2 separate regions of the Mus musculus genome follow, and region 1 is reported to be linked to region 2. Evidence: microRNA targets listed by miRTarBase, many of them from high-throughput screens and not tested one by one. Region 2 holds a microRNA gene; the other region holds the end of a gene's coding sequence.

Region 1 (4,405 bases), not on the chromosome of region 2:
TACAAACCCTACAGCTGCGAGGTGTGCGGAAAGTCATTCATCCGCGCCCCAGACCTGAAGAAGCACGAGAGGGTTCACAGCAACGAAAGACCATTTGCGTGTCACATGTGTGACAAAGCCTTCAAACACAAGTCTCACCTCAAGGACCACGAGAGAAGACACAGAGGGGAAAAGCCTTTTGTGTGTGGCTCCTGCACCAAGGCCTTCGCCAAGGCCTCAGACCTGAAGAGGCATGAGAACAATATGCACAGTGAGAGGAAACAGGTCACCCCCAGTGCCATCCAGAGTGAGACAGAACAGTTGCAGGCCGCAGCCATGGCCGCTGAGGCTGAGCAGCAGCTGGAGACAATTGCCTGTAGCTAGAGGTGATGGGTTAGGAACACTGGGCCTGGGAGGTGGATGCTAAGATTGCATTGGCTGTAGTCAGTGAACACCTTTGACCGCTTTGTGGCAATTTACAGCGTTGTGCTGGCTGGACCTAAGACAGTGCGCACTCCGGTTAGGTGATTCTCAAATTTCTCAAGGCAGTTATGTTCCTACGTTCTGACCAAACAGTTTGCTTTTTTTATCTTTTGGTTTGTGTGTGCGTGTGCGTGTGCGTGTGTGTGTTGTCTAGTATTCATATTCCCAGTAAGCTCCCCTACCCTTCTTTATGGTTTTAATTTGAAATCTCCTTTGTCTGGTTTAAAATGAGTGGCTTCTGTTTCATTCTTAATTCCTCAACTCTTGCCAAGCTGGTGAGTGCACTGCACAGAGTCATGGAATAAATTGATTTCCTAGTCCCAGTATATGTGACTTATGTCAAAACAGCAGTTTTAATAACTGGATACAAGACCTTTATATGGATGCAGAAAATGTTGGCACGCGCTGACCCAGAACACTGCAGAAGTACAAAACCAAATTTGGAAAAATGGAATGGTTTTAGTTTTATATTTGGTTTGTGATTTTTAAATCTCTCTCTCTATATATATATATCATTGTTTCTCACTGTTCCTTGGACAAATAATGGTTGCTTTGCTGAAGTGTTCCTTCATCCATTACAATGGCCCCTGTACCCACCCCAAATGCTGCAGGTCATGTATACCTCAGGATGAGTGAGACCACCAGGATGCTGGTGGTGTTGGGACTCAGTTTCCCTTTCATTCAGTGTGGCCATGCTGTCTGTGTGTGTCCGTGCAATGGACCAGCATCGACAGGAGAAGAGTCTGACACAAGGTTTTCACAGATACAAAAAACCCCTAGGTCTTGAAATCGTGACTGATTTCAGAAATGGTTTTGTATTTAAGATCAAAATTAGGACAAGCAGCAGCAATGTTTCTTCAAATGCGTTTTTGTAGTTTACAGATGGTCAGGCCTCGGGGTCTCTGCATCTCTGCAGCACTCAATTTCCCTTGGAGCAGATGCTTCCTTAAATACGTCTGAAACCCTTCACGTGTGTAAATAGTATTGTTGGTCTTATGTATTTCGAGAAAAGGGACAGCTGCATTTTTTTTCTTTCCTTTTTATTTTTTTTATACAGTGGATTAAAGTACCTTTCATTGGCAACACATATCAGACCCCTTTAACCAATATTAAAGACTATCAGACCAAATGTTTATGTTTTCCAAATATGTCTTATCACTGGTTGCAGTTTTCAATAGAAGCTGATTGCCCTGTCATAGCCATAAATCGGAATTATGAACTTTGTTTCAGATTGGGTGTACTAAAACGCTCCTTTGACTATTTCCTTAAGGATATATTGAAATGCCCACAGAGTTTGAATTATGTTCTGTAGGAAAGTGTAGACAGTTGTTTTAGGATGTGTACAGTTGTAGAAGGTGCCAACTTTAAAAGCTCATGTTTGGTTCTTAAGGTTTTCTTTTTAAAAAAAAAATGCATTAAAGTAATTTCGTTACATGGCCTGCTGTACTAACATCTGTTATTACTGTCGTGAGAAAAATTTTATTTTTAAAACCGGTGTCCATGTTGTGCCAGAGATTGTAGGATGGAGGGGAGGCTACCTTTAAATTTTTTTCTTTATTTATCGTTAAAATGTTTCAGCTTAAATTAATCTTTCCTGAGTGTTTTTTTTTCTGTTTTGAAGGCAATCCCATCAGTTCGTCTGTGCAGTTAGTAGGAGGGGCCGGACTGGTGATCCTAGGCTGTGTTAACCAAAGCAAATGTGAAATCAGCTGGCATCCTGTTGATAACTACTTCAACAAACCATATTTTGGGCCTTTGTTTTTGTATATAAAGATAATGATACACTCCTCTTGTTCTTGATCATTCTTTATACCACTGTTGTTAATGTCCAGATCTATACGCTACCATAGTCATGGTTTCATAGAGGGTCACACTCCTGATCTAAAATCAGTCCCTATAAAAAGCCTTGTGGACAGGTAATCATGTCATTGTGTCCCAATCTGAGAAAACAAAGTAGAATTCTGAATACTTCGTATTACATGTTTAGTGTTTGAACCTTTTTGTATTTGTGTTATAACTTCTACCATGGGTTCTGGGTTCTTATGGGAGTACCTGTTTTTATTTTTAGTGGTGGTGGACTCTTAAAATTACTTTCCTTGGCCCTGAACAGGAACAGTGCCTCTCTACATCCAGCTAACTCTAGTCATCCCTAAGGTAGGAGGGACCCACCCGCAGAGGCATGGCGAGTTCCTGCTGAGATGCGCTGGCCCCCAATCTGCAGTGTGAGCAGAAAGGAATTCTAAGCCGGGCAGTGGTGGCGCACAGCTTTAATCCCAGCATTTGGGAGGCAGAGGCAGGCAGATTTCTGATTTCGAGGCCAGCCTGCTCTACAAAGTGAGTTCCAGGACAGCCAGGGCTATACAGAGAAACCCTGTCTCAAAAATAAATAAATAAATAAATAAATAAATAAATAAATAAATAAAAAAGAAAGAAAGGAATTCTAAGCATAGGCTATCTTTCCATCAATACTTCAATACTTCTTCCTGTACACTATCTGTGTCCACAAACATTGTGTTGACCCCCTCATATTAGCATTGGTTTAGATGATAAATGCAAGGAATTGTAAGGAATTTCATGTAACTGTAAAATCAGCCAAGAAAATTAAGCATCCCCGGTGCACAGGCCTATCAACCCAGCCCCTCAGGAGGCTGAGGCAAGATCACAGGTTGACAGCCTGACTGGCTAAAGAGTGAGTTCGAGACCACCCTGACCAAATGACTTGACACTAGGGATATGGTACAGAGGCGAAGCGCTTGCTTATGTGCTGACGGATACACACAAATTGAAGCACCTTTTGAACTGCCCTGAGTGTGAGTTTAGAAAGTTTCTTCACCTTTCAGGTAAAAATGTGGCCTTTTTCCTCATTGCTTAACATGAAAATTAACACAACACTGAGCCCAGTATCCTGCTTTTTGGGTTCACCATGAGTAGTTCCTGTTGTACTGGTTCATTTTGGACATGTTATCAGTCGGTAACTTGGCTCACCTCAAACTCCAATATATGCCTGCCTCTGCATCCTTAGGGTTGGAACTAAGGATGTGCTAGCAAACTGCACCATATCAGGGATGTTCTCAGTGGATACAGAAACAAGATGCCCCCGCCCCCGCTCCCCACACCTGTCAATTCTATAATTGCTGGCTCTGCATTGTAGCCTGACACGTCTTTTTAAAGTGTTCACAACTGAGAATGTCTTAAGAAAGTTCTGTTTAATTGGCATTTATAAGCTGTCCATTCACAGCTTACATACTCATTCTAGAATTTTCTTTGGTTTCATAATCACACCTCATTTGCCCATTTTTAAGTAGGTCATTGGCGTGTAGTCAAGTGTATACATACACCCTGATGTGGTTGGCTTCCAAATCTACTCAGGGGACATAACAACACAGGCAGAATTGCAATTCTGAGAGCCACACATGAAGTTATCCATTTAGACAATATTTTTATATAAACCTTTCCCAAAGTGAATGTGTTTTAGACTACACTCAGTATTATCTGTCCTGGTTTACATAAATTCCAAGAATATCTGCTGTTTCTTCACTGAAGGGGTTAAGACTACCACCCCCGAATTTTGACTTTAGTCTGGAGTTACTGCTTGCTTTCTTTCGAGGATGTTATCAATAACCTTCCAGGAGGACACTTTATGTGGAGTCCGATTAGTGTCCATTAACAATACTGGCTGAATGTCTGCTATTTACTGAGCTAGGCATTGGGCTAGGTACTGAGAACCCAGCAGGAGTGGGACTGACCGGCTTCCTACTGTCCAGGAACAAAGGCCTCACCTATGCATGCTCACAGAATTCTACACCTGTGAAGATAGTATGTATCATCCAAATGTGCAAGATGCTTTTCAATTTGGGAGTGTATTAATACACTTCATAGAACTTGGTTTCCTTCTAAAGTTAACTAAGGGCTTCATTCTGTTCTCATGACGTTTAGTGGTATC
Region 2 (4,405 bases):
GTGACCATTAATATTTTCAAATTATTTATTTGATTAAGATAAAAATAATCTTTATCATTCAAGGAAGTATCTAGATACAAATAGGCAAAGAATAGAAACTAGGTTTCTTTCCTTATCCAGCATAAGAAGTAATTCTGTATGGAGTGTCATTTAGTAAATAGTACTATGCATCACTGTTTTAAGTCAGAAATACAGCTCTACTTAACTGAGTTTACATGCATATTCAGAAATTTAATAGACCCTAATTTTACCAAAGAGAAGAGAGCCCTAGAATGGAAATTTCCTGTAGATACTTGATGCCCCAGGGAAGGGGGATGCCTGGAGTAGATCACCCACTCAGAGATGAAAGGGAGGAGGATGGGGGAAAGAACTCTGTGAGGGGGGACAGGGAGGGGGGTACAACATTTGAGATGTAAATAAATAAATAAATAAATAAATGAATAAATAAATAAATAATAAAAATTTTCACTATTCATATTATTTTCTATAAAGCAAACATGGAAAAAAAAAGAAAAATATTCCTTCTGTGGTCCTGATCTTTAAATATTTTCATGGTACAGATGTGACTGTGTATCTTACTCTGACCAAGCCAGATGAAATTCTCAACTGGAATAGCAGAGCTGTAATGTCCTTTATTGGAAATCAGTGGTTCATTTTATTATCTAGATTTCTTCTGAGACATCACCTAAGTATTTGAATGGCACAGAATATTTTAAAAGCTGTAGAAACAAGAGACATTAATGAAACCAGGAAATACTTTGTTAATATGAAGGCAACTTTCCAGAGAGTTAAACAAAACTTGAACAAATTTACTATTGAACCCAGTAGTTATAAAGTATATATATGTATAGCTAGCTATGATGGATAGGGCCATGTCTAAAATTAGAAGTTGATTGAAATAAAATGTAACCTTCCATTTTCTCCTCATTACATGTGAAGAGAATTTATTTGGTCAGCCATAAGAAAAAATAAGTTTATAACTGAAAATATAATTTATTATATATAATTAAACATCTGGTTTTTGTTATATTTCTCTGCAATACATATCTGAGTCTTAAAAGCCTATTTAAAAGCCTCATTGTTATATAATTCAGGACCTCCGAAGGGGCTACCTAGTGTCATCTGAGGTAGCTTCAGCTGTGGCTAGAGATACACTTCAAAGATGGAGCCTTCATTCACATTATAGGTGACTAACTTCTCTGACTAGTGGCCGGTCTGTCTCTCTCTTCATATGACAACTCATTCACTTGAGCTTTTCTATGTGGTGTGAAGTTTTCATAGCATGGTAAGTTCAATATGGTTGCCTTTGTTATATGTGTGAGCAGAAAAAAAAATCATGACCAGTATTTTTTCCTGTATTTCACTGTGGGACATTATCAGATTCAAGGAGGTGGAGGGGGAAGGATATGTTTCATGACGCCTCTACTGTCATTATCATGGTTCATAAATCACAAATCTAAAGAGTGCTTATTTACTGAGAAGCAGCGTTTATCATAGCAAATAAATGGAATGAGCCCAATCAGTTATCAGTAATGAAGAGAGGAAATGATGGTTTTCTAAGGACGGAGTCTTTTTTTTTTTTTTCTCATTAAACTTGTTTTAATGGTCTCAAATTCTGTGACAGATTTTTGGTCAAGTTGTTTCCATTAAAAAGTACTGATTTTGAAAACTAATAACTTAAAACTGCCACACACAAAAAAAAATGGTCCACAACATTCTTTCCTTCTGAAGGTTTTATGATGCATTGTTATCATTAACCAGTCTTTTACTTTTATTAAACTTAAATGGCCAATTGAGACAAACAGTTCTGAGGGACGGAGTCTTAAGCAGCTGAAGGAGGTGGTGGAGGAATCTCCTAGCAAGAGCAAGTTAGGTCACACAGTATTCCCTTGAAGAAATTATTGGACCTGTGGTCCTTTCCTCTTTCTTCTGTACATCCTGGCCATTGTGAGGTAAACCTATTTTTGTCTGCCACATGACTCCAATCATCATATATGATGTTACCACAGGCCAGTGGTGCCTCAACCATGAGAACCATCAGTGGGGCCATTCAACTCTGAGTGACATCAGTGAAACTTTCCAATGATGAGACGCATCAATGGATCCTCCCAACAACTAAGGAGATATTATTGGAGTCACTAGATGGATGGAACCAGTATAGTAAAACCATCAGACTATAAGAAGCGTCTTTTGAAACCAGAGGCCAAAAGAAACTCCTCCACCTTTTCAGTGAATTATCTTCAATGTTTCGTTCCAGTAGTGAAAAGCTGCCTCATACCTTTTCCAGCCTAAAGAGCTTTAAAACAGTCTCTGACCACTCGCTACAGTATGTACCCTAAGGCAAAAAGATCTGCAAAAAAATCGAACACTGTTTTCAATAAGTACATTATTCTCTTTGGAAACATTAGTAGTTTTATTTTGAGATATTTGTGGTAAATCATTGAGTTGCTCTGTTGTTATCTGTGGACTTTAGGACTTTGATACTTAGGAAAGGAGTCTGTGGTTGTCATGAGGGGGCATCTCACATGGAGAGTACAGCTGCTCCCTTAGCCCATCAGATCCTGAAACCCACAGTGTGTTTGCAGGGAGGCCACATCTTCCACAGGTTTCTGTGTCTAGTGGCTGGGTGTAATGGGATGTTCTATTACCTTTTGGGGGGGAACACCTACTCCTTATTGTCTGTGTTTGGATGAAGGTCTCCTACGTGACTTTGCTGAAGATTCTGTGGCACGTTGCCACCTCTGTCTTTATCTGTCTCTTTCCCTCCTTTTTGCTTTGTTGAGACATGGGCTCATGGTGAAGTCTTGAACTAAGTTCTTGCCACAGGCTTCCAGCTGGGTGATGACAAGCATTTGACACTGTGCCCAGTTCTGCTTCTCTGATATCTTACTCCATGACTTGGAGGAAGATGCCAGGTTTACGTCCCAATGCTGCAATTTTAATTTTTAAGAAAATTTTCTATTTTTATGTTTTATCACCATATATTAATTTTATAAAATGATGGGTTTGTTGTGACATTTTCACAATGTGTACAATGTTCTCTGATCACTCTTACCCCTTAGCCAGTGCTCTTTTCATTCCTTATCGTTCTTGATGTTCCATTGTCTGAAAATAATTTTTATTAAAGTAACAGATTTAAAGAACATCATAGAGTAAGGTTTTGTTTTAAAAACAGTGTTAGAATGTATTATATATAAAATGAATGTCATGGCAATTTTTAATATATATACATAATGTTCTTTGATCACTCTCTTTCCTAGTCTTGTTAACCCCTTACCTCTTCCCAACTAACCAGCCTTCTAAGTTTATATCTTTTTGCCTTTCATTTGTGACCTATTAAGCTTAATTAGCACAGTTTATAGGAGCGTAGGAACCTTTCCAGTTGATATACTATTGAAGAAAATGTCTCTCCTTCCCCCATTAATTGCAGTAGGGGCCACATCCCTGAAACTCTCCCTTTCTCCATCGCACAGCTGAAGGACCCAATCTTTTGCAGGCAATCACAGCTGCTGTGGGTTGATTGCAGTTCTCCCCCAGATCCACAGAGCCTTCACACTCCCGCTTGGGTGTCTCAGTGAAGAGAAACAGCTGTGTAGCCTGCACGGTAACACTCCTCGTCTCCCGTGTGTCTTGCCGTCGGCTGTTTCTCTGAGATGTCAGTAGTTGCCATGTTCATTTGATCATGCCTTCACTGAAAGGCATAGGAAAGAGAGACATTCTTTTCTTCCCAGAGGAAAATAGATTCCTTTTATTTATTACCAATAAATGAATCTAAAAATTACTAGGGTACAGAATTCATGATTTCTGGAAGCTAGGTGGAGGTCACAGTACATATTATAACAGTTCTGATACAACTCTTAAATAACATTATTAAAGTTCCTGAATAGAACAGCAATGGCTTGTGCTGTAAGATTGAGAATCGATAAATGGGACCTCATAAAGTTGCAAAGCTTCTGCAAGGCAAAAGACAAGACAAAAAGACCACCAACAGATTGGGAAAGGATCTTTACCTATCCTAAATCAGATAGGGGACTAATATATATAAAGAACTCAAGAAGGTGGACTCCATAAAATCAAATAACCCCATTAAAAAAATGGGGCTCAGAGCTGAACAAAGAATTCTCACCTGAGGAATACCGAATGGCAGAGAAGCACCTGAAAAACTGTTCACCATCCTTAATCATCAGGGAAATGCAAATCAAAACAACCCTAAGATTCCACCTCACACCAGTCAGAATGGCAAAGATCAAAAATTCAGGTGACAGCAGATGCTGGCGAGAATGTGGAGAAGGAGGAACACTCCTCCATTGTTGGTGGGATTGCAAGCTTGTACAACCACTCTGGAAATCAGTCTGGCAGTTCCTCAGAAAATTGGACATAGTAATACCAGAGGATCCCGCAGTAC

What was found. Region 2 holds the annotated microRNA mmu-miR-703 (AAAACCUUCAGAAGGAAAGAA, at 1,716-1,736, opposite strand). A microRNA usually pairs through its seed, bases 2 to 8, with sites in the 3' UTR of a target mRNA and lowers its output. Matches are read on the target gene's strand: a 7mer-m8 pairs with bases 2 to 8, a 7mer-A1 pairs with bases 2 to 7 and ends in A, and an 8mer does both.
Region 1: miRTarBase lists Zbtb14 as a target of mmu-miR-703. Seed matches in the 3' UTR shown: 7mer-m8 at 1,213-1,219 and 7mer-m8 at 1,850-1,856.

The regions. Positions count from the first base shown.
Region 1 is chr17:69,388,296-69,392,700 of GRCm38, forward strand. Zbtb14 (zinc finger and BTB domain containing 14) reads left to right here. Exons shown (of 3, transcript NM_009547.3): 3 at 1-2,457. The coding sequence ends at 363. Among named protein-coding and RNA genes, the nearest start is that of Gm49894, 6.3 kb to the left of the region's middle.
Region 2 is chr5:98,473,901-98,478,305 of GRCm38, forward strand. Mir703 (microRNA 703) reads right to left here and starts at 1,764; the gene lies at 1,656-1,764. The region is part of intron 2 of Cfap299 (cilia and flagella associated protein 299); the gene reads left to right.